Linked DNA regions of Caenorhabditis elegans. The protein of the gene in region 2 interacts with the protein of the main gene of each other region in a pairwise test. Each region holds a gene or a part of one and is shown on either strand. Other genes may lie near its edges.

Region 1 (13,012 bases), on a different chromosome or scaffold from region 2:
CAAATAGCCGGTTTGCCGATTTGCCTGAAACTATAATTTCCGGCAATTTGCCGGTTTGCTTATTTGCCGAAAGTTTTTCGAGGTTTTTTTTGTAAGACGGAAACACTGAAAACTGTGCCTTTTCGAATTTTTTCCCCTTTTCTTTAGATATTTTCATATAATTTGCTTACTTTTCGAAACAGATGTAGAAATATTCATAGGATGCATACAATTTTGCCGATAAAATTTGAAATTTTGAAATTTAAAAAAAATGTGCAAAAATACAATTTTCCGAAAATTTTTGGCAAATTCGGCAAATCGGCAATTTGTCAATTTGCCGCCCACCATTGGTTAAAATAATTTATGTAATTCGTGATGTCCGCATAATGCTTCAGGGAGCACAATGAACACATTGCGATGCAACATGTTCTAAATTTGAACTTCAATATTTGTATGTATCTCGGTCTGATTTGAAACGAAACTAAATGATAATACCAAACAACTCTCACCGTCTTGGTCCGTTTCACTAGAACATGAATATTTTGATACTTCCACTTGATACTAATCACATAGGCGACCCTCTTCCCAATTTCCGTCATTCGAATCAAAAAGTCTCCATGATTGCTCAACATCGCCTCACACTCGTTCCTTCCCATGAATCCATGATAGAACGGGAAATTGTCTATATTATTCTCAACTCGGCCTACTTCATCGCTGGGCACTTCAATCAGTTGATCTTTCACTTTCAATCGTTTCGAGTTGTTATTATCGCTAGAGGGTTTTGGTGGAGGTGGTGGTGGTGGTGCTTCGCATGGCGTGATGGCTGGTGTGAGAGGAGTTGGTTGGACGACTAACTGGATTGGGGTCTTGGCAAGATTGTCCAGTGCCGCGTTTCTCTCCTTTTGGGTTTCTGGAATTGGAGTAAATGAGATTGTTGAAACAAAACCCAGAAGTTATTGGGCCCGTGGGATGTTGGCGGCTGATTGGAGTTCCGATTTCGGATTTTTCCCTGTGATTTTACGAAAAAAAAAACCGCGCTTATTTTTTGGTATTTTACACGCCACGCAGTGTATCATAATACAACTCTTTTAAAATGGGAAATTTTTCTATTTAGAGTCAAAAAGTGGCGCTAACACAGTTTCTACCAGTTCAAAAGACTAAAAACTAAGATTTTACATCATTTTTTTGCAAGTTTTATTATGATATTTAGTCAGCTGGGTTACTGTAATTTTAAGGTAGGACTACTGTATTTACCTGGCTTTGTATCCTCACTATACGTAGCAGTCGTCTCTTTATCTTCTCTGGATTGGGTGTCCTCTGGTTGTAAATCACCTTCCGAACTTTTTGATCGCATTTGTTGTTTGTTAAAAACTATTAAATGAATGAATTTCTTATCGATTTTATCGATTTCAATCAATAAGTTGGCTTTTTTGTATCACGTGAACTTTTATTTAATTTAAATTTTATTTCAGAATGAGCGAACAAGCAACTTACAAGTTTTACAAGCACTTTACAAGTTCATACATGTTTGAATAACAATATAAACTCAAAGCATCAACAACCACCGTTCAAAATTTGTCTGAAAGTCCAGTTTCAGCTGCCAATTGTGCTTTATTCAAAATTCCAAAAAAATTATTTTCTTCAAAACTAAACACCCAATTTTTTAAACTTCACCAGTATATTCATTCATGTTTGAATAACAATACGGCCGACTCAACGCAGTGCAAATGAAATCGTGGGCGGAGCTTAGTAACCGCGGAGTGTCGTTGCGTCGTTGTTTATTTTTGTGCGATCGTATTTTTTTTTAGAATATTGACTGATTATGCAGTTTGTCAAAAATTTTGATGTTTTTTTTTCTAAAATTTTCGATTTTTCTGAAAGATTTATTAAATCATCCAGCTTTCGAGGAGAGGGATCTACATAAAGGACTCAAAAATATGTTGGGGCACTTGGAACTACTGGCAAGAGAATCTGATTTATTATCATATTGCAACAAAAGAAAACCGAATGACAAAATGAATAACGTCATGAAAATAAAATAAAATATCAATCGAAGAATCTTTAATAACCAGGTGGAGTTCTTGGCGGTGGGCAATGATCGCATCCTCCCTTCTCACCAGCAGAGCCATCGGGTCCTGGAGCTCCCGGTTGCCCAGGTTTTCCATATGGTCCCGGATTACCTTGATCTCCCGGAGCACCCTTCTCTCCACCGGCTCCGTCCTTTCCACGTGGCCCTGGTGGTCCCGGTGGTCCTTGTGGACCCATTTCTCCTTGTCGTCCTGGTGGTCCAGGTGGCGCCTCTCCGGCGATCGTCTTTCCGTGATCTCCGGTTTCTCCAGGACGTCCTGGATATCCGGGTGGTCCTGGTGGTCCAGCTCTAGAAAGTTAACATAATTTAATGGAGAAAAATGAAAATGAAAATTATCGATTTTTTTCCTAAAATGATTGATTTTTTACCGAAAACTATCGATTCTTTAGTTCCACTTACGGTCCAGCATTTCCTTTCGGTCCGGCGCTTCCCGGGGTGCCTGGCTCTCCAGATTCTCCAGGGTAGCCTCGAGATCCTTTGTCTCCGGGCGCTCCAGTTGGTCCAGGCGGTCCTGGTGGGCATTCACGTGTGCATGCTTCAACTGCATCAGATGGTCCCTCTTGATAACCTCCGTCGGCTGGTCCTTGTGGTACCTGACCGTCTTTTCCATCGGTTCCAGGTGCACCGTCTTTTCCGTCCGTTCCGTCGACCCCGTCTGTAAAATTAAACCAATACACCACAATTGCCTCGCAAATCTAAAAACCTACCATCACCCGGTGGTCCCGGTGGACCCCGTCTACACTCGGCATGTGGTGCTCCACCGCCTCCGCCAGCGGCCTCGGCGTATTGCTGTCGTCGATTTCTGCTTGATCGGTCTGGAATATACTGTCCGAAGAGCCATGTGCCTTTAACCGCTCGCTTGGTTCGGGCCACGAGCTCCTCGTCCCGGCCGCGGCTCCGAGCCATCTTCATTGTTTCTGTCCAGAGGTCACGGTTTCGAGCCTGTAAGTTTTTCGATGCACCATGTTTTTTTTTATTTCATATTTTCCACAAATTGTTCGTGTTCAAAAAAATCGATAATTTTCAATTTTTTTTTAATATTTAATCGATGCGCCATGCTGCAAAATTTTACAAAAATCGATAAGTTCCTGAAATTTCAAATCTGGTGTGTTGAGTCCGCAGAGGCAATGCAGTGATTTTACGCGCAAGTTTAGTTTTTTGCCAATTTGCACGTCAAATTCTATATATTTTTGTGTATACATTTTCCTTGGTGATAAAAATTGGAAAAAAGTAACCTTCGAAAACAGAACATTTAGCGTAGGGATAACATCGATGCGCCATGACAGGTTTGCGGTTTTTTTTTAAGGTTTTGAGTTTGAGTTGACTAAAAAATTGCGAAGAGTAGGAATTTTTGGAATGTATGTCAAAATCTCAAACGATTGAAAATAAATTTCGAAAAACTTTTTTTTTATTTGAATATTTCCAAATCAAAATTTCTAAATTTTTTAAAAAAATTACCTGACAAAAATGGGCATCGTTAAGCAAATTTGAGTGAATTCTCTGAATTGCCTGATAGGCAATTGGTGTTAACACCACAATCGCCAGAATACAGGAGGTGGAGAGGGCGACGGCGGAAAACGCGTTGCGGCGGAATCTGCCGACTTCCAAGTCATCTTCCTCGATTAGGGACTTCATTTCTTCGGAAAGACTACTCTTTCTGCCAGTTTTTTGGATAGTTTTATACCAAGTTCTACCAGTTTTCCATTAAGATCAAAATCTAAGCGTAGAGAATTCCTTGAGCGAAAGTGTTGAGCTGACCGTAATCGGAAATTGGAATCTTTGTTTCCGTTTTGTCTCGTATTAAATAACTGGTCGGATTCGACAATTAAAAAAGTTTTATTAGTTTAAAACTTTGGGGAAAAGGGAAACAGGAGACTTTGTGCGTCAATTTTTCAAAAAATTTTTGAAAATTTCTGAAATGTTTTTTTTTTTTTAATTTTTTGATTTTTATTTAACGCAAATATTACGTGGCCACAAAATTCTGAGAATGCGTATTGCACAACATATTTGACGCGCAAAATATCTCGCAGCGAAAACTACAGTAATTCTTTAAATGACTACTGTAGCGTTTGTGTCGATTTACGGAAATCATTTATTAATCGGTAAAAATATTAAAATAAAACACAATAATGTCAGAAAAACTGAAGAAAATGGAAAAAAAATCAAGCCCGTAAATCGACACAAGCGCTACTGTAGTCATTTAAAGAATTACTGTAGTTTTCGCTACGAGATATTTTGCGCGTCAATTATGTTGCACAATACGCATTCTCAGAATTTTCTGTTCCCGTAATATTTAAATCAAAAAATCAAATTTCGCTCCATTTTCCACGAAAAGCAAGTGTGATGTATTGGCTCCGCGTACTCAATGCACCCTATTTGACGCGCAAATTTTCAAAACGAATTTTTTGCGCGTCAAATGTGATGTATTTGTGATTTGACATTCAGTCTAAACTTCACGTGTATTCAGCTCGACCAACGCCTCGAAAATTTTCAAAAAAGGCGGGAAAAAATATTTGAATTCGCCAAGAGGAATTTCACCGCAGCGCGTGCAAAAATGTCTGCATTTGCGCGTGAACTTTGAAGTCTCTATGGACTCAATGCACCATATATGACGCGCAAATAAATTTCGAGGAATTCTGAAAAATCGACAATGAAAAATCAATAATCTTCAAGAACCAATTTATCGAATTTTTCACATAATTTCGTCATTTTCCTTTTTTTTCTCCTCCTTTTTCTCTTCCTTCTTATCCTTCTTGCTTTCATCTTTTTTCTCGTCCTTCTTTTCGTCAGCCGCCGGCTTTTCCTTTGGAGCAATTTCACTTTCGCATTTCTGAAAAATCGATATATTAGAAAATTCAGAAAACTCGCAAATCTAGATCTCAATAATTTTAGAAAAAATCAATTATTTCATAGAAAATCGATAAAACACTCAAATCGCCGTGAGACCCACCAAATTTTTCGGCGGATTCGGCAACTGAATACCATTCTTCATTTCGTCTTCCTTCTCACTTTCAGGCAGCACTTCAGCAAGTTTCGTGTCCTGGACCACTGGTTTCGGAGGACTTTTCGGCTTAGTCGGGGCGTCTGGTGCTCCCGGAGCTTCTTCTTTTTTCATCTCCTTCTCTTTAGTCTTCAGCGGGTCCGTAGAGGTCGACGGTGGAACCAGTGAGTTCACTTTCGACGCCTCTTTCACATTTTTGTTCGCTTTTTTCTTTTTCCCACCGCACAACAAAATTGGGAGAAGAAATAGAAGAGGAACAAGTATCATTTGAAATTCTGACTGGTTTTTCTGGAAAATTTCGGAAATTTGCGCGTAAAGTCTGTTGTTTTGTAGGTTCACGATCTATTTCGCAATAAACACATCATTTTATTCTAGAATTCGCTTTATTTAATTAAAATTCAATTCAAACTCAATTCAAGCTCAAACCTCAATTAAAACTCTGCGCGTCAAATATGATGCATCTGCGCAAAATCGCTCCGAGTCCCAAACAAGAACTGCAAAAAAATTACCTGGGCAACCAAGACTGAACAAGTTCGAAAATTAGGGAATACATTTTTTATGCCCATATTGTAATACCCTTTAATTGTCACGTAAGAAATTTTTTGTTTTGAAATTTTTTTAAAATTAGAATATAAATTTTATTCGAGCATAGGTTAAAATCTACGAAGCAAAATCATATTACATTAAACAAATTAGCATTTTCCACGAAATTCAATCCTCCGACGTGGTGCACCAATCCGACCAGAATTCCTCTTTCATGCGCGTCACAAATGTCATCTGAAACCACATGCCCTAATTATAGAATTTTTCAAATCTCGTGGCCTAGAAAACTCAAGGCCACCCACCAAATTTGGAGTTCGGTCCTTCATGAATTGTTTTACGCGGGCCTCGTTCTGCAGTGGTGTATATTTGAATTGAGCCAGCACGGCGAACGCCTTGCAGTCGAGCTGAAAGGCCGAGTTTTGGCCGAGTTTTTTGGCTGCCACCTACCCAAGACGGTTCATTGACATCGAAAAAGTATTTATTCGAGGCCAAAAGTGAGGCCAATGCCTCCAACATTGCTTCAGTTCGGCAGGCGACCTCCTTTCTCGCCGATTTTCCGGATATTCCGTAGCCTCGCACTCGGCGGCGTGTCTGAAATGAAAATTTCGGAAAATTTAGATCTTGGCACAGTTTGCGCGCTGGAAAGCCAAAAAAATCAATAAAAAATTGTGAAATATCGACTTTCTTGCCTTAAAAATCGATAATCTAGCCAAAAATGGTAAATTTTATAGGAAAATTGATAATTTTTGGTGATTTTGGCCTAATATATCGATTTTGCTTCTGAAAAACCAGAATTTTATCGATTGTTTCAACAAAAAACTACTAATTTACAGATTTTCCGAGGAAAAAAAAATCGATTTTTGATCAATTTTTTCAGTAAAAAATCAATATTTTATCGATTTTTCCATAAAATATCAATAATCTACCCGTTTCTGCATCTGCGGTACAATCCAATTCCTCCAAAAATAGAGCTGAACAAGCCCGAAGTCTTCGATAATCTTACGATCATCGCGGAGCCACGTGAAATCTTGGCCTCGCGAGTAGGCGAGCATCCAAGTAAGCTCGTCGAGCAAAGCGCTCAATGCGAGAGCCTGTGCTCGCTCTTTTGGAGTCAGGCCCGAGTCCAGAGACTGGAAGAATATTTAAGCTTTTTCTAAAATTCTAGTTTTAAGCCAACTTTTCCATATTTGGCGAGCAGATAATCAAGTCCTTCCATCAAATTTTTGAAGAAATACCCATCGACATCAATCAATGGGTATAGGTGCTCACGAGGGAGTACATTGTAGAGAGAACATTGCGTTGTCTGGATTTAAATCTGGACTATGTTTATTAACCTAAATGCTCTCACTTCATAGGGAATTAGCTTGCTCCGAAGAAAAGTTTCTAGAAATAAACAGGATGGAGCATAGTAGGGAACAGTGACTGTTCTCGGGAGAGTAGTCAGCAAAGCGGTTTTACGATTCATCTGAATGATGAGACGCTTCATGAAATGCGAGATGAGTCGAGCCAAGACGATCACGTTTCATGATTATTTATGCACATAATTAAACAACGTCAAACAATAACGATTTATCCGGAAGGAAGGTATGAACAACAAACAAGTTAGACCATTTTTCGGAGAAGGTTGTTGATTTGATCTTCTCTGTTTCCGAAGTCTCCTCCTTCAACGAAGTGGTTGGTCTTCTTGGTCCATCCTCCAGTTGGGTTGTTGAGCTTGAAGGGCCACAAGAAGTTGGTGGCCTCCTTGAAGTGTGGTCCGACGGTGGCGATCTCGTGGGCCAAATCCTCAAGACAGATGATGTTGAACTTTCCTGAAAACAATTAAATAAGAATTAAAAAGCATAAGTTTTCAAATTACCGAGGCTCTGCTCGACGATGGTGTTGTCGGTGATTGGGACACGGTTTCCGTCAACCTTGGCGTATCCGCGCTTGTAGAGGAGATCGTGGATGGTCTTGTTGTTTGGATAACCCCAAGCTACGTATGGCTCGATGATACGGAGAAGTGGAAGAGTAGCCTTGTTCAGCTTGACGAACACTCCGTTGTTGATCTGACGAAGACGGAGGATCTGGAGAGCCTGAAAACAAAGAATGGTTATTAAAAAACTCATTAACACAATTTCACCTTTCTTGGCTTTGGATGAAGCTGGTTGATACCGCGAATTCTGACGACGAAGGCGACCTTGTGCTCAGCTGGAACGTAGAAGTCTCCCTTGGCCTCAGCCTCGCGCTTGAGTCTGAGTCCTTCCTTTTGGGCGTTTCTGTACTCCTGGACGTATTTCTCAGCACGCTTGAAGTATTGGGTCTTCTTCTCCTTGTTCTTCTGTAAAAAATTTTATTTTTAATGCAGGATTAGTTCAAATTAATTTTCAAACACCTAAAAGAAAATTTAAACTTTAAAATTTCGAATTGTCATCGTGTTATTGAGACGCATTCTGAATTGAATACACCTCACCCAAAAACAAGATAATTCTTATAGCTCAGTTTTGACGGCTGGCTTGGATAATAGTGGATCCTAAAACCAGTGCTTTTGAAGAGCATTTTCTGTTTTCTGACAGTTAAATAAACTTACAGCGGCGACGGTCACCTTGTGTTGAGCAGCCTTGGTGCGGGCATCGGCTCTCTGCTTTCTGCGCTTGAGCACAGTTTCTGGAACCTGTGGCACTTTCTTTCTGAAAAACCAAGAATTAATATCAAAATTGAAGTATTTGAAAGTCAGGCCTAAAAGTAAATTTCAATCTAATATAAATTTATAAAGAAAACTTACGTTGGAGCCATTATAGGCGATTGATTACCTGGAAAATCAAAATATTAATCAGAAAAGAAAATTATAAGATATTGAAACAGAGGAGCAAGTTTTCAAAACTAAATTATTTCAGTATTTTTCGAATGTTCAGCATTTTCTTCACGAAAACTATAAAAAACGCGTATCAGAATTACGGGAAATTAGTTCTAAAATTTATTCTGATGAAAATTTAAGAAAATCAATGAAAAATGCTCTGAAAAAACGGAAAAATTCGTTAGGCCAAAAAGAAAAAAATGTAAAATTGAGATTCCGTTGCGCCGCTGCGAAAGGGGTACGGTAGTTGTCGTGCCGAGACCCGAGGAGGCTTGCGCTGCGGCTAGCGTCGCGTACCCTCAGACCGACGTGGCTGCGCCGGTGCGCCTGACCTGTTTTACGTTCGATTTTATGGGTTTCACACGCATTTCGCGTTCGGAAAAGCTTATTCTGGATGTTCACAGCCATAAAACTAATTATTTTTTTCAATTTTTAGCTGAAATTATCAAAAAAGAACACCCAGAGAAAGCTTTCCCTTGTTAAAAATATCCTGTTCAACTATTTCGAAATCGTGTCGACAAACAAAGTTCGGCCGCTCACCTTCCCTTTTTCGGGTATGATAAGCCTCAAATACTCTTTCATAACACACTTCTATATACATTTTCACATTTTTCTTCTGACTAACCACCCTCATATATTGATAAAATTCAATATAAAACTCCCAACTCCATATACTTTGAATCATTCTTAAATCAAGTTCACTTATATTTTTTCAATCCCCGTCGAGATAGACAACCGGTTCCTGACTCCGCGTTTGTGTCGGGAACAGAACATAAAAATATTCTCCGCCGATAAAACAGTGTCTCGTTCTTTTAATATCGATTTTACAACAAAACATTGCGCCCGGCTGATGAATCATGTGACCAATGCCCTTTTTCTTTTTTACAATCGTCCCAATATATACACAACTTTCAAACAAGCTTTATCATTTTACAGCTCAGCAGTAAAGATGGGCTCTCGTGACGATGAATACGACTACTTGTTCAAGGGTAATTTTGTTTTTCATTTTTCAATTCCCAAACGAAAAATTGTTTCAGTTGTTCTGATTGGAGACTCAGGCGTCGGAAAGTCGAATCTCCTGTCTCGTTTCACAAGAAATGAGTTCAACTTGGAATCAAAATCAACAATCGGAGTCGAGTTTGCCACGAGAAGCATCTCGGTGAGGAACTTCATTAGAATACACTTATGATTCAAATTATTATTTTTGTAGGTAGAAGGCAAGACAGTGAAGGCTCAAATTTGGGATACTGCTGGACAGGAACGTTACCGTGCCATCACATCCGCTTACTATCGTGGGGCTGTCGGAGCTCTCCTAGTCTACGACATCGCTAAGCATGTGACGTACGAGAATGTTGAGCGATGGTTGAAGGAGCTTCGTGATCACGCCGATCAGAACATTGTGATTATGTTGGTCGGAAACAAGAGCGACTTGCGCCATTTGCGTGCAGTTCCAACAGACGAGGCCAAGATCTACGCCGAAAGAAATCAATTGTCGTTTATTGGTAAGTTAAACTAATCTATTGCGTTTATATATTTTTTTTTTTCAGAAACATCTGCCCTCGACAGCACCAACGTTGAAGCAGCTTTCACTAATATCCTGACGGAAATCTACAAATCAGTATCCAACAAGCATGTAGGAACTGACAGACAAGGATATGGCGGTGGCAGTGGTACAATCATTCCTTCGCCAGCGTCCGACCCACCAAAGAAGCAGTGTTGCATCCCATAAATCACATCGTGTTTTTTTTTTTCAGTCTAACGTGTGTATTTTTCGAAATGCCTTGTCCATTTAATTTACTGCCCCCGAAATCCAAATGATTCGCTCTTAACATCCGCGAGTTTTATCGAATTCTTGCAAGCACTGCGTTTGCAAGTCTTCACCGTTTTGGTGTGTAGTATTTGTAACTTTCTTTCAGATTTATTTGTAATTGCCTCCATCCCCACCCCTTCCCCCTCCCCCCCCTCCGAACCTATACATTCGTCCCTTTTTCTTCAGAAGATTGTGATCTGAGTTGAGTGGTGCTGCTTTCTTACCATTTATCCGACTCAAGATTGTATGCCAACTTCAGCGACGTATTTTGAATATTTTTTCTTCACCCTTATTCAATATTATTCTGGCCCACCCCCACCCAATGTGTATATTACCTAAACTATTTTGGTTATTCGTAATGTGTGTCTCTTGTAGAACTCGATACCGAGAAACCCTCGCCAAGAAAGCAACGAAGACATATGCACATTGTTTTTAATCGAGTTTTATTTATTTCGCAATTTTTTTCCAAATAGTCATTTTCCATGAATAAATAAATATATCTAATTGATCTCCTATTTTGTGAAACATTTTCACTAAACGCTTGTACCAAATCACGTCCAGTTTTTTTATTTTGAATTCAAAATGAAAATCCGCATTTTCGCGCCGAGACCACTACAGTAACCTAAGGCCTAAAAATGTGCATTTTTGCGTGTTATTCTATGCATTGTCCGTACAGCGTTTCCATTTGAATTTTTTGAAGTTTTCCGATAAAAAAAAAGAAAAACTCCAAAAAAAAATTTCCCATTGAAAAATGTCGAAAAAAGAGACGCAGAGAAAGCGCTGCAAGACCCCACATCTGTGTGTTTGTCCTTCCTCAATCCTCCGGCTCTCTCGTCGCCTCGCCGTCTCTTTCAAATTCTCCATCTCTCCTCCCGTCTCTCTTAGTTGTTCTGGTGTATGCTTGCGTGCGTGCGTTGCGGACTACAAATCAGGACTTTTTCAAATTTATTTTAATGCTTGTTTAATTTTTAATTTTCCACCCCGTTAATTATTCTTATTTTCAATTATTAAATTGCAGAAAAATGTCCGAGAATCCTGAAAATTCGGGAGAATTGGCAGAAAATCAGGAAGAAGTTGATCAAGAGCTTGTGCAAAATCCAACAGAGCCCCAGCAAAATCCAGAGCCGGCCGAAGAGCCCCAGCAAAATCCAGAGCCTGCCGCAGAGCCCCAGGATCCAGCCACAAAATCTCGTCCACGTCGAAATGCTCGGAAATCCGTGCTCTACAACAATGAAGACTACGAGTTGGGCATCCCAAAGGAAGAAGCGCTCGCCTCTGCATCAACAAGCTCGATCGCAGCTCCAAAACGCTCCAGGACGGAGGAAAGTACGGTTCGAAACGCGAAAAAGAGAAAGCCAGCGCCACATTTGGAGGAGCTCACCGCCGGAGAGCTCGGAGAGCCCATCTTCGCCGGCGACGACTCGATGCTCCACGCAGAGACGGAGGTCATCGTAGAGGATGAGCCGCCAATTCTGAACCTTTCCCGATATCGAGACGAGGATCGCATACAAATGGACCCGTTCGGTGATGATGAGGAGGAGGACGACGGGTTTATGGATGGGCAACCACCGGATTTGGAAATGAATTTGTGGGGGATTTTTTATTTAAAAAATCTTTAAAATCGAAATTTTCCAGGCCCAGCAAACAGCGACGTGTCCGAACACGCAAGCCAATGGATACCGATGGGTCTATCGACGATGGGGATAAGGAGAAGAAGGCGATGAAAATTATAAATCCGGCGGCGGCGACACCGTCGAAAATGTTCCGAGTTCAAGGAGAACGAGTTATCAGTAAAGCTCTTGCTGAAAGGCAGTACCACGTGAAATTGGTAGGGGCTTACATGGAAAAGCTTCAAAGTTTTATGGGAATTCTTCGGAAAATGTTCGAAATAACTAGAAAGACTAAAAAATGTGCCCAAAAAACCAATTTTGTAATGAGAATTGTCTCCAAAAATGGGCTCCAGTTTCGCTTCAAGTTCTTTTTTTTCTGTTTTTGTCTTATTTACCTAATTTTAATAGCTTTTTTCACGTGTTTTTAGTCATCTGGAGTGCATTTAATGCCTATTTGGCCAAATTTGGCTCAAAATATTCAAAATCAACGGTTAGTTTTAGCTGAAGTCTCCAATTTCCCGTGCCGTAGGGGTCGTAAATTTATGATTTTTTATTCGATTATTACTTAAAATTTGCCTTTGAGCCGCCATAAAAAGGGCGTTTTTTGAGCCTACGGGAGAAAAAAAAACCTTCAAATTTTAATCAAAATCCTTCAGAAAATGCCGAAAAATCAATTTTTCAGTTAAAAATCATAAAAATCATCGAGAAAGTCGGATTTTATCGTTTTTTTTTTTCAATTCTATAATTTTTGCAGTTCGAAGATGAAGTTGAAATGACGGAAAACGGTGATTGCTACGCCACAGTGATATCAGGCTGCCTGGCCTACCTTCTCAGAAAGGAACGAATAATTGAGCTGCTCACCAACGAGACCGAAATTGCAATGATGTACGGAGACAGTGAAAAAAGGAGAAAATTTCAGCAATTTTATTGTGAAAATTGGAATTTATATCAAAAATCAGGCAGAAATAGCCAGAAAAAGTCATTTTTCGCACTGGAAATTAGCAATTTTCAGTGATAAATCTAAATATCTTGTTTTGAAAAAAAAAAATTTTTTTCGAAAAAATACATTTTTCGCCAGAACCACAAAAAATTGAACTATTTTTTACTATAGTTTTTAGAGAAAAAAAAATATAAGAAAAAAATA
Region 2 (17,273 bases):
CTAACTTTGGAAATTCATCTAATTGTCTAACTTTGGGAATTCATCTAATGGTCTAACTTTGGAAATTCATCTAATGGTCTAACTTTGGGAATTCATCTAATGGTCTAACTTTGGGAATTCATCTAATGGTCTAAACTTTGGGAATTCATCTAATGGTCTAAACTTTGGAAATTCATCTAATGGTCTAACTTTGGAAATTCATCTAATGGTCTAACTTTGGGAATTCATCTAATGGTCTAACTTTGGGAATTCATCTAATGGTCTAACTTTGGGAATTCATCTAATGGTCTAACTTTGGAAATTCATCTAATGGTCTAACTTTGGGAATTCATCTAATGGTCTAACTTTGGAAATTCATCTAATGGTCTAACTTTGGGAATTCATCTAATGGTCTAACTTTGGAAATTCATCTAATGGTCTAACTTTGGGAATTCATCTAATGGTCTAACTTTGGAAATTCATCTAATGGTCTAACTTTGGGAATTCATCTAATGGTCTAACTTTGGAAATTCATCTAATGGTCTAACTTTGGGAATTCATCTAATGGTCTAACTTTGGAAATTCATCTAATGGTCTAACTTTGGAAATTCATCTAATGGTCTAACTTTGGGAATTCATCTAATGGTCTAACTTTGGGAATTCATCTAATGGTCTAACTTTGGGAATTCATTTAATGGTCTAACTTTGGCTAATGGTCTAACTTTGGAAATTCATCTAATGGTCTAACTTTGGGAATTCATCTAATGGTCTAACTTTGGAAATTCATCTAATGGTCTAACTTTGGGAATTCATCTAATGGTCTAACTTTGGGAATTCATCTAATGGTCTAACTTTGGGAATTCATCTAATGGTCTAACTTTGGAAATTCATCTAATGGTCTAACTTTGGGAATTCATCTAATGGTCTAACTTTGGAAATTCATCTAATGGTCTAACTTTGGGAATTCATCTAATGGTCTAACTTTGGAAATTCATCTAATGGTCTAACTTTGGAAATTCATCTAATGGTCTAACTTTGGGAATTCATCTAATGGTCTAACTTTGGGAATTCATCTAATGGTCTAACTTTGGGAATTCATCTAATGGTCTAACTTTGGGAATTCATCTAATGGTCTAACTTTGGGAATTCATCTAATGGTCTAACTTTGGGAATTCATCTAATGGTCTAACTTTGGGAATTCATCTAATGGTCTAACTTTGGGAATTCATCTAATGGTCTAACTTTGGGAATTCATCTAATGGTCTAACTTTGGAAATTCATCTAATGGTCTAACTTTGGAAATTCATCTAATGGTCTAACTTTGGGAATTCATCTAATGGTCTAACTTTGGAAATTCATCTAATGGTCTAACTTTGGGAATTCATCTAATGGTCTAACTTTGGGAATTCATCTAATGGTCTAACTTTGGGAATTCATCTAATGGTCTAACTTTGGGAATTCATCTAATGGTCTAACTTTGGAATTCATCTAATGGTCTAACTTTGGGAATTCATCTAATGGTCTAACTTTGGGAATTCATCTAATGGTCTAATTTTGGAAATTCATCTAATGGTCTAATTTTGGTGGAATTCATCTAATGGTCTAACTTTGGGAATTCATCTAATGGTCTAACTTTGGAATTTCATCTAATGGTCTAACTTTGGAATTTCATCTAATGGTCTAACTTTGGAAATTCATCTAATGGTCTAACTTTGGAAATTCATCTAATGTTCTAACTTTGGGAATTCATCTAATGTTCTAACTTTGGGAATTCATCTAATGGTCTAACTTTGGGAATTCATCTAATGGTCTAACTTTGGAATTTCATCTAATGGTCTAACTTTGGAATTTCATCTAATGGTCTAACTTTGGAAATTCATCTAATGTTCTAACTTTGGGAATTCATCTAATGGTCTAACTTTGGAATTTCATCTAATGGTCTAACTTTGGGAATTCATCTAATGGTCTAATTTTGGAATTTCATCTAATGGTCTAACTTTGGAAATTCATCTAATGGTCTAATTTTGGAATTTCATCTAATGGTCTAACTTTGTTGTCGTCATGGCATTTCCATAGATATCCGTTCTTTTTTCATGTTTCTCTTCTCATTCCCCTCCAGAAAAAAACGTTTTTAAACTTCAACATTTTCCACATGCGCTGTGAATTTTCCGTCAGTTTAGAGCCAAAAATGTTGTTCCAAATGAAATTAAATTATTCGAAAAAAGCTATTCGTCATAAAGTTGCTTACCTGATGACGTTGTTTGGTATTGCCGTCTTCATAACTGCATGTTTAATCAAATTTGCAGTAGATGTTGTATTCTTCATGGCTACTGTAGATTTGCGATATGCTCATTATTATATTTACGGTAAGGGCAGTAATATCTAAAATCTAAACTTATAAATGTTGTTTTTAATTAATGAACATTTTTCACGAACATGTCTCAACTGTTTTTCAATTTGGCAAACTCCTGTTACTTTGAAACAAAATTTCTTGTTTTCAACTTTTGTAACACCTTTTTTCAAATTTTTTGGTCGTATACATAGCCGAACCAGTTCTTGTATCTGATTGATAACTAGGTGTTGAATTGGATTTTATATTCTCAAACTAAACTTCGAAATTTTAAAATTTAAGAACCGTATTTGCCATATTAGGCAGTTGGTACCTTGGTTCTATTGCCCTAGTAGACAAAATACGGTATAATAAACTAACCATTTCTTGCGTAGTTATAATTTTTAGGTGGAATAATCTACCTGATCTTCTCGATTGTCTTGATCTTCCACGTCTCCAAATGTGTCGTTGAGCACACAATAGAATCATTCGACAAGATTCAAGAAATCAAGGATGAGGAGTTGAAATTGAATGAAAATGCATTAATGGAAACGGTTTGATAAGGGTCTCTGCGTTAATTATCCGTTAATTATCCGTTAATTATCCGTTAATTATCCGTTAATTATCCGTTAATTATCCGTTAATTATCCGTTAATTATCCGTTAATTATCCGTTAATTATCCGTTAATTATCCGTTAATTATCCGAATATGGTCAGAATAAATCATATGATCTGTTAATTCAAATATCCGGGACGTAATGGGGTCGCTTTCCTTCTGCATACCTTCCTGTTGACAGCATGTCTGCTCGTCTATCTCGTGCCTCCCTACAGGATTTCTTTATGCTTACCCGTCTAGTCGCCTACCGCGTGTCTACCTATGTGCCTACATACCCACCTACTCGCCCACGGTTGCCTGCCTGCCCACTTCACGTCTAAACTTTTTCATGAATTACTATTTGAAAAGTATCCTTTTTTAGTTTGAAACGTGTTGCCCACTTGTAAAATTTACGGGGAAATTTTCTTTTTAATTACACGTTCCAAATTGCACAGTTCATATCACTCTCGAAAGTGATTTATTTCACAATATTGTCGCAACAAAATGGCGGAAAAATCGCGAACTCCCGTCTCAAGTCGAGCAACTTCAAGTGGAGTGGAAACTGCTCACGAAGCTCGATCTAAAGCAAGATCAGGGAAGAAGGATCGGGTCGTGGCAATGTCTCCAATGAATCGACAACGCAAAAATAAGTCGCATGTATTAAATGAAAAGGATGAGCGTCCAGGTGGTATTATTAAAGAGTTAGTTTAATTTTTTAATAATTCTTAAATTAATGAACATTTTATAGAAAATCAAGCGTTCGTTCAATGGCAAAAACTCAACCACCATCAGGTCGAACTATTTCTCTTACTGAGATTAATAAGCCAAATGCTCTGTCAAAAAAGAATACTGAAATCAAAGCAGCAGTTGAGATTCAGAATCGATTGACGAAGAAAATGGCGAAAAACTCTGAGAGAAGAAAACAAATGGCACATGGACCGGAGATGACTGCACAAAATCGAACACAGGAGAGAATTGATTTTGTTGATTTCCTCGATCGACATTATCAAGTAATTCAAGCCGGGGTAAGTACGGGGAAAGTGGGATTTCATTTTGAAATTTGAATTTTCTCCAAAATGAGTACATCTGACCGATCCGTGTTTAGCGCCGCCCATTTTTAAACCAATCAACGAGGGTGGCCGGAGAAAATCGTTAATTGGCCAAAACTTTTGGAGGGAATTTAAATATTTTTGACTGACCATTTTTCACGAATTATTTTTTCAGGTTCACAAAATTCAATACACAAAGGAGGAATTTGAGAATGTGATCTACGAGGCTCAAACCATCTTCTCATCGGAAAAAGCTCTTGTTGACATCGATCCACCATGTGTCGTAGTTGGAGATCTTCATGGACAATTCAACGATCTTATCAACATGTTCATTCTATTGGGACGTCCTCCTGAGACAGTTTATGTTTTCACTGGTGATTATGTTGATCGAGGAATGATGAGTCTAGAGTGTATAATGCTCTTGTTCACCTATAAGATCTGCTATCCCGAGAATATTGTGCTGCTCCGTGGAAATCATGAAATTGCAAGAGTCAATAAGAAATATGGATTCTATGAAGAATGCGTGACTTCGATTCCAAAGTGTGGAGAGGAGATTTGGGCTTTGTTCCAGGTATGTGTTCTCATTCTAGACGTTCTGTATTTAAAAATATTTCAGCGTTGTTTCAACAATCTTCCAATCTCCGCTTTGATCGCTACAAAGATTCTATGCATGCATGGTGGATTGTCTCCTGCTCTGACATGTCTTGATGTTAGTTAACAGAAGTCGTTTTTTCCTAAAAATTCCATTTCAGGAACTTCGCAATCACCCGAAACCAATTCGCAACCCATTCCGTGGAATTGTGAATGACATGCTCTGGGCTGATCCGGATCCATCTGTTTTTGAATGGAAGGCAAGTTCCCGTGGATCTGGTTTCACCTTCGGAACAAATGTGATTGATGACGTTTGTAAACGTCTTGGTGTCGAGCTTATCATCCGTGCTCACCAAATGTGTTTCGATGGTTATTGGGTATTGAGTGGACGGAAGCTTATCACCATCTTCTCTGCTCCAATGTACTGCAACTTCTACAAGAACGCTGGATGTGTGTTGAAAGTTGACGAGACGTTGGGCATTCAGATGATCGCATTTGTTCCAGCATCGGAGAATATCGAGAAGATCATTGAAGAGAAGAATCGTGTCTGGGATATTTCTATTGATTGTATTGATTAATACTTGGAATAAAGTTATTGAATTATTTGAATAAATTACAATTTATTAAGTTCTCAAGAAATCACAAATTATAAATCACGAACAAAACGGAAGAAGAATATCACAAAAGTACATAGCACCACATATACACATGATAAGTAGGTTGTTCAGAGGGGAATAAATATGAAAGAGGAAGGAGAAAGAAACGGATGGGATGGAAGATGAATGAAGATGACCAAAAATACAGACAAAGTTGTTTTTGATAACAAAAGAAAATTAAATTGAGAAACTCTATACATTCGATGGCCTAGAATTGTGAGGATCGTTTCCATTGGCATTTTGGTCGGCTAATACATCTTCATTTGAGTCGTTCAGCGGGTTGGAGAATGATTGAAAACTGAAAAACCAGAGGGATTATTTATCAATTTTCAAATTATCTCGTTCAGTTAATAGAGTATCGAAAATTTTTAGTAGATTTTAGTCGAAAACTTGCAAAACGAAACAAGCCCTCCTAATACACTTTTAAAATTAAAATTACCGAGTTCCATCTCTTAAGCTGCTCAGCCAATCGCGAGCATTGTCAATGGCATGAAGAGCACGAAGAGCTCTACTCGAGTCGTTGCCAGCCGCTGAAATTAGAGAAACTGAATGTTTTCGAACGAACTGATGAACAACTGCAATATCTAGTTAGTTTTTTGTACGTGCTACTATGCTAACTGTAATCTAGAGACTGTTATTCTATATTTTAATTGTTTTAATGCTTTTGTGATTGTTTTAGTACTGTCAAACCACTACACGACGCTGTTAGTTGCTGCTGTCACAACACCATCACCAAAACTAGCAACCAAGTTTGTTTGGCGTGCATAAATGTAAGAAAAATGAAAAAGTGTGTAGAAAGCCTGAACAGAGAAAGATTCGTGTCACTTCAACAGGCACGCACCGACCCAGATTGAGCAGATTAGACGGTGCGTAGGCGGATCGAGTCGTCGGTGAGCCGAGTTCCGACGGCGGTGGATTCGATTCCACGAAATCGCGAAGACATCCACGTTTTTCGATGGCTCGAAGACCGTCTGAGTAGCGATCCTGGAATGAATGAGATATAATTATTAACTTTTACCGTTTTGTTATTTCTTAAATTTAAAAATTCATTAACATGGTTAATATTATGGAGGCGCGTAAAAAATTCCCCGCCCTGACCAGACCGTAAATTCAGTAGAAATTTGAAAAAAATTTCGTTATTTTTTTTATTTTTTTCAGTTTTTCAAGTCGAAATTATGTTTTTTTTTTAAATAAATGCATGTGAAGTTGAAAAGTGATTGATGCGCACTTGCACCTAAATTTCAAAAGTCAAATTTTCTGCAAACCTATAATACGTATGTCAAAAAGGGTGGGTTCTCATTTCTTTGAGCCAATTTCGAGTTTCACTAGTTACAGAATGATGAATTCTCAAAAAAAAAAAATAATTTGAGACTGGTGGTGTCTATGCTTTCTCTTTCAGACCTCGGCAAGACAAAAACTAAATCATTGGTTACACCGAAATCTGACATTTGACTAGTCTCCTTGTCTTCTGACATAGAATTTCATTTTTAGCTGCGAGTAAGCACTTGATCATCTTTCATTTTTCGCCGCAATAATTAAAAATAGATGGATGGGCAAGGAAAATGAAGAGCTATTGCTTTCTTGTTGTTTTCATTTTTCCAATTTTCATCAACACTCAAACAGCATCCCATTGGCGTGGTCTATTGCTCTTTCTTCAGTTGTTTTTTCGAGCTTTTTGTTCTCATTTTCATGTTCATTTGCTCTGTTCATTATTACCTTGACGACTTCATATGCATCCATGATAATTGCAATGAACAGTGATAATACTACATAGATAAAGAGTGACACGAATAGGTAGATGTACACTGTCCCAAATACCTGAAATATTTAAGATAATCTAGAAAAAAAAAAGAAAAATCTTTACCTTGATAACTGTATTGGAATCATTAATAGTGTAAAACGTGGCGAACATATCGTCACCGTTGAGAAGCGAAAATAGAGCTTCCGATGATTCTGCCAGTGTACGGAACTTCATACTGTACGGGCCAATAATAACCCATCCGGCAATCAAGAAACCAGCGTAAAGTACAATGGCACACGTCATGAAGCGCATGATATTGGGTGCCGATCGTTTGAGCGTGAGCATGAGGATCTGGAAAATGGCAAAAATAAACATTTTTCCTTCACTTTTATCGTTTGAAACCAGCAGAAGCTTTTTTAAAAGTTTTTTTAGTATTTTAATCATTCCATTATATTTAGCTTTTCTCTTTGATTGCGGTTATTTTTACTTATAGAGTGATTTTGTTAAATAATTGGCTCAATCTAGAACTGGCTTGTTCTAGATTGTGCCAATTATTTAACATAGGATCTTGCTTTTTAAATTTTATCTGAAAAATTAAAGAACGTAAATTTCAAGAATTTTCCCGAATTTTTATAAAATTAAAATGGTTTTTTTTCTATTTTATATTTTCCTTTTTTCGGAAATTAGCTAGAACTACTCACTACAACATTTAAAAATAATTTTTAATTTTTTTGGAATTTTCAAATTTATATCTTGCGGATAATCGAAGAGCAACTATCAAATTTTTTTTTTGGCAATTATTCTCATTTTTTGAAATTATTTTAATCATGTTTTTCTCACCAACAGCAAAAATTTGAATAAAAATTCGGATTCATTTTTGTAAACTTTCAGAAAAAGATTTTCTCTTAAAAGAAAGAGTTAAGAATATTTAAAAATTCGGTATTGTTGACATCATTTTCTCGTTTCCAATTTTCAAGATACCAGGAAGAAACAAAAGAGGTATGAAAATTGATTTATGTTTTGACATAAGACCCTCTTTATTTTAGTTGTGCCAAGGTTTTAGATACGGCTTTTTGACTTCTCTTTTAAACTTTTCCTTCTCTCAAACGTGATACTTTTGGGGGCACCAGTGAAACAATATCAAATTAAAGAAATATTTAATCTCTGGAGAATTTTCATTTACATTTGCACTTTTCACATCAAATACACTTTGACATCATTCTAGACAATGCGTGATTAATTAACTCAGTTTCTATGAACAACAAAATCTTAATCACGCGTTGTTAGACGTCGTCTAATCAAGTCGAAGTTTTCCAGTTCGAAGCTTTCAATATATATATATACATACGCCAATCCTTAATTTTGTAATGTTTGTAGTATGCTTTAGCTTGTTAATGTAAATGGATCCTTCCATCTACTCCCCTTAATTTCCCCAATTTTCACAAGTTTAAAACTTGTTGTTTGCAGGGCAACATTCTATTGGTCGGTGGTCTTTTCAATTAAATTTGAAGACCATTGAGCTCTTTTCCTTTTTCTTTGTCTTCTTCATTTCGAACAATTTTTTCGAATGAGTTCCATTTTCTCGCATGGAAACGAAACAGTAGTTTCAGTATCTGATGGTGAAATTAGAAATGTGGCATATGCGTTTGATTATAGGTAAGTTTATTTGAACATATTTTAAACGTAAATTAAGCAAAAAATTTCACGAAAATAAGGAGCTTAATCGAATTCTGGACATTCATCCGCTTTTTTTTTATTATATACCAGCAAAAATTTCAACATTTCGCGCCTAAAATGTAATCGAGATTTCCAGACAACCTCTACTTCTAATTCATCTACTCTACACTGTTCCATCATTTATAGCATATCATAAATGCCGCACGTTTTTGACGAAGGAAAGCGTCACTAGCAGCTATTTCAATGTGATTTTCACAAATGATTTCTATATTGTAAGTACATAGACCTTTCGGATAAAAAGTGTAAACTTTTTCAGAATGTTGCACTTTTTATAATCGACTTTCTATTTACACGTCTTCCAATTTCTGGTCTTTTTGAAAATCTTCCTTCATACATCCCAGAAGGAATACCTATGACTATAATCTACTTTCTCTCGTATTACTTGATCTATGTGAACTTTTATTCAATAACATTAATATGCATCAATCGAATGACTTCTGTACTTTTCCCGTATTACTGTAATTCGGTGAGCCTTCCCATCCGAAAAATATGAATCTCCTAAAAAATTAAAGTTTTGGCAAAAGAACGTCCGCAGTGCAATCGCACTTGTCTACATTCTTCCATTAATTACTACATGGCACTTAGTCACCTATGACGCTTATTTCTTACCACTATACGAAAATCGATCCAATTATCAAATGGTATACAGAGTGAAACTGTTGATAGGATTTTTGGTATGGTTTCCACCAAACACAAAATATGAAAATCAATAAAATTACAGCCTAGAAACAGTACGGCGCTGTGTTTTGTGTCGATTCTTCTCGCCGTAATATGTGTTGCAGCGAATTTCACAACAATTGTTAAGTACAAAACGACAATTCAAACAGTAAAAACGGCTAGTGGTACTCAGAACGAAGTTAGTTTGAATAATATTATATTAGAAGCATAATCAATTTTAAGTTTCATCGAAAAAGAACACGACGAGTAGAAATTGCAATGTTTTCTATAGCGTTAGTGGTATGTTTTTCACTGGTACTGCAGGCTTTATTACAGGTAAGGAAATAATGAATTATTGGAGTATTTACTTTTTTAAAAATTTTTTATAGGCTCTGATAATGATCTACACTGGTACTTCGTCATTCATTCGTGAAACATGTCAAGATCTACGTGCATTCGCACTGGATATTTCCATATGTTGCCCACCTTGGATAATGTATTACACTACAGTACACTCGCATAAGACTACAATAACAAGTAATTCCATATCCGGAGTTGGTATTCCAACACGATCAAATGTTGTTGTAATGAAATAAAGCAATTTGAAACAACTCACATTATATTGACTGAAAAATCCAAAATATCGAAGAACTCCGACATATACCAGCAAAGCTCCCATTCCGAGGAAAATCGAAGTTAGCGTGAAGAGGGAATTGTCGAAATCCTGAAAAGAAAGCAATAATCTTAGTTTTATGCAAGAATTAATGGAAAATAATTTTCTAATCAATACAGAGGGGCAATTTGGTTTCGATAAATCCCGGGATGAAAAGTTGATGGAAACAATGGGACGGACAGATACAGAAAGGAAGTTATTGGAAATATAAATTTTTACTCACATTTCTTGTAGTAAAAGTATTTTTGTTGAACTAAATTTAATATATTTTATGTTTGAGTATTGGAGGGAATTTTTCATTTGAATTAAACTTAAATTTTTATAAAAATTACCTGAAACTCGATGGATATTTTTGCAACAGTTCCAATGATAATAAGCGCATCGTTGACCACAATCATCACATACCACAAATTCAGAAAATCGAGTTGATCGGTAACGGTGATCTTATTTTTGAGTACATTCTCAAAATAGTCGCTTGTTTTGATTTGAAGTAGATGGGCTTTGATGAGGGCTCGGCAGCAGAGAATCAGTGATAGAATGCAAAGAATGAGAACGAAAATATCGGTTCCGCCGATTAAAAGTGTGTCAAATGACCATCCAACACCTGAAACTTGACCTAACTCGAGATTGATTGAATTTTTATATTTTGATATTTTAATATTACAAAATTCATTTTTATTTAAACACAGAAGTACACCTAGAAGTTAAATATTTCAAGTTAATTGGGAAATTTTTGAATACCTAAAATCTAAATGTTACTCTCAAGAAGAACTTTTTTAGGCAAATAAAGTTATGTAGATTTTAACACGAAGTTTCAGAAAGACTTTTATAAAAGATTTGAAGTTATATTTAATAGCATCCCATTTGATGATTCTTCACCATTAATTATTGGAATTCTATGTTAATTGGGTAATTTTCGATTACATAATCTATAATTTTTACTAGCTTTACTTTGAAAATTTGAAAAAAGTGAAGTGTTCACCTTTGATGATCCTTCCATTACAAACATTCACATAAGAAACCACAGTTGATAGAGTGACATGAACCTGTCCTGTATGCCTTGAATTATCAAATTTGATAGAAACTGATATCTTATAGCATTCTGGTTTCTGATCTCCGGCTGTTGGTGAATAATGAATTGTTCGTAGTCGAAATTTGAATTGGACCGTCGATATCTTGAGCGCGTCTTCTGGGAGAAATGTGATTCCACGAGTGGCGAGAATATCTCGAACAGCATCATCGGATTGTCCGATTTGGAAGACTTCCGTTTCTGTTAGATTCAGACGTTTCGTGTCTAGAAATAAACTATTTTTATTTCATAATAGTATGTTTATATACCTTTCACTTCACGAATGTCGAAATTATAAGTGTTATTGTTCACTGTTACGTTGGAAATTCGATCGATAAGAACTTCAATAGGTGGAATAGATTCAAAACTAATTTGAGCGCCAAGATTTCCAGATGGATGACTTACAACGTCATAGGAAAATGAAGCAAATGAATCATTGCGAATTGAATAATACTGAAACAATATTGATCATTTTACAAGATAGTTCTCCAAAGCGACTTACAGAATTAATCAAAAAGCTCAAATGCTCGGATAATCCTTGATCATCATAAACCGAATATCTTCCTTCAGCTGGTGGATATTGTAATGCATCTCTGTCGTCATTCCATTCTTTTAAAAATCGATGTCTCATAACTGTTGTGGTGTCTTCGAGAAAATCAACATGAGACATGCGCATTTCCGCGAATAAAATTAATTGCATGGTAACGAAAACTATTTTGAGCACTTGTAGAACCAACTTATAGGGCAGTTGATGTCTGACTTTCCATTTCTCCATTGGATTCATAAAAAAGAATTGGAGATGACGGCGAAGACGTTCGCCGGTTTCTCTTTCGTGGTGCGGAAGATCTTCCATTATTTCTTGAAAATTTATTGTTGGCCTTCGAGAAGCATTTGAAGAAGCATTCGAAGCATTATCGTTGAAGTCTGAACGATCAGTTGTGCTCCGGCGAGACATCTGAAATCATGAAATATTAAATAACGTTGTATTAATGAAAAATTGATTTCGATGCGAGTGGCGGTTAATATAAGCGTACAAAATATGAATTCTAATTTTTAAAAAATATATATTTTTATGATTAACATGCTATTTATAAAAAACAAAAACAAATAATTGTTTGAACAATTAAAAAATAATTTTCCGAGACCAACGCCCGCGTAAATCCTACTAGTGAGGTACACCGCGCGGTGTCTTTGCGTACCATGCACAATATCTGACGCCGGTCAATCTTATGGTATTTATTTTCTCTTTAAAAAACGAAGAACTAAAAAGAAATACTCACCTAAAGTCCAAAATTATCAGAAATTATCGTTATCAGTCAATCAAAAATTGGTTAAGACCATGCAAACATGCAATTTTGCAGTTTTCAACCCTTAAAACAATACATTTATTATCTCACCGATTCGAGGGGAATTTGCTCTAACCGCATCGATCTCGAAGCTTGGCTTCTGAATATTCTACTCATCTTTCAAGAAAGCTTAGAGGTGTTATTTAGAGCCGATGTAAATGGCGAACATGGGATAGATAAAAGAGCATTTGAGAGAGAGAAGCGCAGGGAAGCTAGAGACACGTCAATTTGTTTTTTTCTGTGTTGGGTTTTTTTTTCCTTCCGTAGATAAATAGCGGTTGGAATCTATACAAAATTGAGCATGACTTTTGAAAGGTGCACACAAAGAAAATAAAAAGCGTAGTACTTTCAGTAAAGAGAAATTGGAAAATTTTTTGAGGGCACATGTACATAGTATTTTGCAATGACGTTAATATGGATAAACTCGGAGAGAATTATAAATTCAGAAATTTGCATAGAATGACGCACATTTTAAAAGTGAAATTGCAGGTTATAAAGTTGTAGTTAAAAAAGTTTGAGTTATTACCCAGTTGCGAAAGATTTCAATTTATTACAAAAATTTCGGGCTGGTTCACAGCGCGAACATTTTCAAATCGTAGCCGCCGCAAAAAAGGTATGCACCTTTAACAACCACAGTAAACCATTGAAATTTTTCTTTGAATTTTTAGTCATATTCATATTCTGTCGTATAATTTTATCTGTTTCTTTTTAGATACAAATAGTGAGAAAAGGAAGAGCACAACTAACAAACGGGCAATGGATTACTGTCGTTTTTTGAAGGCGCAGTGAGACAGTAGGTACCGTTTTTGAAAGTTTACAGAAGGCAACGTTTGACAACTACTTCAATTTTTGTTCTTTTTTTTTGGTCGTACCCCAAATATCGAAAAAAGTCTCTGCAATTTTTAAATTTCCTGTGATTTCAATAAAATATTAAATTCTGAATTTCTATTTATTGAACTTCGATATCAAAATTCCTCTTGCCACACACAAATTTTTAAAATCTAATACGTTTCCATGTCTGCAACTATCGAAAACACCTCCACAATATTCAGTTCATCATCATTTTTTGTTTGGTTGACTGGCTTCCGATCGCTCTTTTCCTTTTTTGTTCTTTTCCCACGCCTTCTTTTTCTTCATCTCTGGCGTACTCTCTCGATGTCAAATTTTTGTTAAAGTGAAAGTTTTTGGCAACTATAGTTTTTACAACATATTCATTCATTTGTAGTTTTGATATTTTTTTATTTATTTTTGTTTCTAATAAATTTTTCATCCGTGAAAAAACTCGGTTAATCGAAACATTTCTTGAAAATTCAGAAAAATGGAATTCATGAAACTCGCAATCGAAGAAGCCAAGAAAGGAATGGAGAAGGGAGACGGTGGACCATTTGGAGCTGTAATTGTCAAGGATGGGAAGGTAATCGGTAGTGGGCATAACATGGTTTTAGTCACCAAGGATCCAACAGCACACGCCGAAGTTACAGCCATCAGAAATACTTGTAAGAATGTCGGTAAGTATTCCTTTCGTTTTTAACTTTAGTAAAGGAAACAAAATTAGTTTCTTGAATCCAAAATTTCGAAAATAATTTATAATTTTTTACAATTGTTTTTTATTTAGTAAATTCCTTACAAGATATCACTGTTTGGACATCACTTACTGCTTTGATCTTCAGTGTTTGGTTTTTGACTTTTTTGATTGCCTATAATTTGGTTCACTGTACTTTTTAATTTAATTTAGGTAAGAAGTTACTTCCTGGATTCCATGCAAGCCTTTACTGAAATACTAATTATTAGGGGTTTTGTGAGAATTTGAGATCTGCTAAAAGATCAGAAGCGTCTTAATTTATTTTCCCTATTTATCCTATCTACTGTTATATAATTATATTCAAATTGGCCATATATCTATTATTTATCCAGACAACTTTGATCTATCCGGTTGTCAACTCTACACTTCCTGCTATCCATGTCCAATGTGTATGGGAGCTGCTCTCTGGTCTCGTGTCGATGCAATTTACTACGGTGCCACGTCACAAGACGCCGCGAATATCGGATTTGGAGATCATGAGTTCCATGAGTTCCTTCAAAACCCAAAATCGGATGATAAACGAAAGTTGGAACAATTCAAGGTGGACAACTACTTAGAGCCATTCCAACTTTGGTCAAAGAAGGATAACAAAGAACTTTATTAAATATAAACAAATTCTCTGGTTTTTGTCATTTGTTGGTTGCAAAAAAGTAATGCATTATAAATAAACGTATAGGAGTGTGAGCATATGGGAGCAGCAAATATGAATAATTGATTACAGGAAAAAAGACGAAGGTTGGGAGAATGTAGATGACGTTTGTATTTGAAGGTTTTAATTGACTTGTAATTTGCTTATCAAAAACTAAAATTTATACAAAAATGTAAATATCTAGTTACTTTTACTAGGCCTTTCAAATAAAAACAGAATCTTGGAAAAAGTTTGCAATGTCCCATAACATCTTGCATATAAGACTAATAGAGTAAATACGGTATTTCAAATTTGGAAAGCATGAGTTCGAATAGATAATTTTAAATCGTAAGAAAATAATGTTTTCAGAAAATTTTGTAGAGCACTTTTCTTCCATTATTGTTGCACCGCATTGCTCAACTCTTTTTTAAACTTTTCTTCAATTTAAGCAAAAGTTATTTTTCTTTGCCGCGTTTTTCTAGTGGATACGATGGATCATATACCTTTTTTATTTTGTTTTCAGGGTTCACATCGGGAACATATTCTCAAATACCCTGATCACAATTTATGTTTTGGTCTCGGACCCGTCACCCAAGTCATCATCTCTATTTCCTCGTGTTTTTGTTTGAATTGTGACAAGTGAAGTGTTGGGTCTTCTTGCATTTAAACATCAACGAGCATTGAATGAATTGGTGATGATGACGATGTCTGGATTATTATACCAAAATGTCAGATTAATCATGATTGCTTTGACCTATGGGTTACCATTTTATTTGGTTCCAATTTTACTGCCTGCTTGTCTAGTTCTTACACAAAAATTTGGTTCCGTTTTTAGTTAAGCGTTAAACTATTTAATTGAAACTGAAAAAAGGCAATCCGTAAATCGAATTTCATAAATTCCAAAGCTCGGAGTAGACGCCAAAATACCGAGGCTGGGTAGGCGGTAGATAGGTACGCCTAGCAAAACGCCTACCTACTACAGAAGCCGCATAAAAGGACAAAATGGAATAACTGGCTATAGAAAATTTTGCTCACTAAGTAGTCCCTCAAATTCCTAGAAATATTGAAACTTCTTGAATGAGTAATCTATGACAATCTAGCCCTCTTCTCTTACTCCCCAATTTTATCCTCTCCGGAAAAAAAGGAAAAAAGAACGAAAAAATCCACAAAAAAGGACGTCTTCTTTTTCTTTTTTTTTCTTTCATTTTTTCTCCTGTTTCTTCTTTGCTTCGTTTCTCTATTCCTCCATCGGAAAACTGAGAAGATGTCAGTAGGGAGCTTGGGACGAGGAAGGGTTTGAGCACAGAAAAGCTCTTTTCTACGTCTCCACTCTTTTTAACGGGAGGAGACGTTGTCGGGGGCTTGAAGAGAGAGATAGAGAGCACATACACATGCACACACTCCCAACAACTTCTCTTTTCTTTTCTCTACTCCGTCTTTTTTTGCTTTATATAGATTTGCGGTTGACGGGGAGAAGTGTGTACCTTTATCGACTTTTTTGAATTTTTTTTCTCTGTAATTCGGATTTAATTCTACTTTCAAATCCAGGTTTCTTCGTTTGACATCTTCATAGTAAATAACTAAAGATCTGAGAAACCAGCTTGTTAAAAGGACTGGGAAAATATTGACAGAAAATGCAACTATCACATTTCAACGGATTCATTTCTGTTTTAGAATTGAATTTTTATGCTTTGAGCTTTAGCGAAAATTTTTAAATTTTCAACCACGAACTGGAAATCAATTATTTTTCCTGTGAAAGTATTTGCCAAATTTTTAACTTGTATAATATTAAAAATTAAAATTTTGATAGATCCCTATTGTTTCAAGTTTTCAAAATAGCATGAGGTCCCCACCGAAAACATTAACAGCAAACCTTCTAAATACTTGTTTCAAAATACTCCTGTCAACTGGTCCAACAAGTTTCTCGGACGAAATTCTCAACAATCCTCTGCCATTTTTTCCCAGTTTTACGATACTCTATAACCTACTCGTGAACTTATTTTCCAGGTAATATTCTCTTTTATTTCTCTCTATACCATCAATTTAGCTTCAACAATTTTTCGAAAAAGCTTATTCCTCTATTAAAGTTGAATCCAATTACTCAAGTTTCCCCATATTCCACATATCTTCTTCCTTTGAAAACGTCATTTTCCCCTAGGAATTCTCAACATCCAGTATCGGTTTTGTTTACTCTAATTGGAAAATAAAAACTTGCAGAACTCTGAACTTTTCTATTCATGAATTATTCTCCAAGACGCCGTTTAGCTTTTTTTTAGTTCCGGAGAACACGGATTTGTTATTCATTCGTGTTCAAATACTTCAAAAAAAATTTCAAAATTTTTTTTCAAATTTACTTCACCAGTTTCAGTCAGGTGGAATTTTTCCCTGAAGCCACAAACACCAATAACAACAATTATGATTTTTACGTATAAAGATTATATCTAAACAATAATATATACTTTAAAATTTCGAAATCTTTATTCTTAGAAGCTGTGCTCTTTTTCGGCTACTCCGCACACGTCTATAATTACATGACTTGTATGTGTGTGTTTGCTCCGCGAGCATTTCTCCATTTCCCCTCGCCATTTTTTCTTTCCTTTCGTTCAACGGTTGTCTTCTGAATAAGAGTGACGTCAGAAGA

The links.
Region 1: the proteins of cup-5 (region 2) and F53G12.8 interact in a two-hybrid assay, tested with the Caenorhabditis elegans proteins (one large-scale study listed by BioGRID).

Annotation. Positions count from the first base shown.
Region 1 is NC_003279.8:106,430-119,441, reverse strand, and holds F53G12.8 (uncharacterized protein), read right to left. Parts: upstream 5,636-13,012; coding exon 5,579-5,635; intron 5,358-5,578; coding exon 5,019-5,357; intron 4,899-5,018; coding exon 4,761-4,898; 3' UTR 4,734-4,760; downstream 1-4,733. Other genes in the region: Spermatocyte protein spe-8, read right to left, coding at 489-889, 1,234-1,333; col-45 (Nematode cuticle collagen N-terminal domain-containing protein), read right to left, coding at 2,041-2,356, 2,468-2,723, 2,776-3,010, 3,527-3,703; F53G12.9 (GST_C_6 domain-containing protein), read right to left, coding at 5,781-5,846, 5,915-6,016, 6,060-6,203, 6,539-6,742, 6,790-6,915, 6,961-7,077; rpl-7 (Large ribosomal subunit protein uL30), read right to left, coding at 7,215-7,423, 7,471-7,687, 7,735-7,932, 8,182-8,281, 8,377-8,387; Ras-related protein rab-11.1, read left to right, coding at 9,398-9,437, 9,486-9,607, 9,659-9,950, 9,996-10,177; Y48G1C.8 (DUF7747 domain-containing protein), read left to right, coding at 11,281-11,846, 11,894-12,086, 12,623-12,753.
Region 2 is NC_003281.10:7,579,447-7,596,719, reverse strand, and holds cup-5 (Polycystin cation channel PKD1/PKD2 domain-containing protein), read right to left. Parts: upstream 12,038-17,273; 5' UTR 12,032-12,037; coding exon 11,579-12,031; intron 11,530-11,578; coding exon 11,346-11,529; intron 11,302-11,345; coding exon 10,990-11,301; intron 10,624-10,989; coding exon 10,340-10,623; intron 10,261-10,339; coding exon of another isoform or gene 10,231-10,260; intron 10,059-10,230; coding exon 9,951-10,058; exon of another isoform or gene 9,931-9,950; coding exon of another isoform or gene 9,724-9,930; intron 9,671-9,723; coding exon of another isoform or gene 9,578-9,670; intron 9,534-9,577; coding exon of another isoform or gene 9,399-9,533; intron 9,352-9,398; coding exon of another isoform or gene 9,190-9,351; intron 9,144-9,189; coding exon of another isoform or gene 8,934-9,143; intron 8,890-8,933; coding exon of another isoform or gene 8,754-8,889; intron 8,597-8,753; coding exon of another isoform or gene 8,508-8,596; exon of another isoform or gene 8,406-8,507; intron 7,292-8,405; coding exon 7,064-7,291; intron 7,018-7,063; coding exon 6,916-7,017; intron 6,184-6,915; coding exon 6,045-6,183; coding exon of another isoform or gene 5,938-6,044; exon of another isoform or gene 5,730-5,937; coding exon 5,639-5,729; intron 5,498-5,638; coding exon 5,392-5,497; 3' UTR 5,139-5,391; and 1 more. Other genes in the region: Y80D4G.2 (DUF3955 domain-containing protein), read left to right, coding at 2,168-2,345, 2,717-2,868; R13A5.11 (Serine/threonine-protein phosphatase), read left to right, coding at 3,408-3,604, 3,652-3,928, 4,128-4,523, 4,569-4,661, 4,705-5,121; R13A5.15 (Serpentine receptor class gamma), read left to right, coding at 8,508-8,596, 8,754-8,889, 8,934-9,143, 9,190-9,351, 9,399-9,533, 9,578-9,670, 9,724-9,930; gda-2 (CMP/dCMP-type deaminase domain-containing protein), read left to right, coding at 13,741-13,930, 14,337-14,608.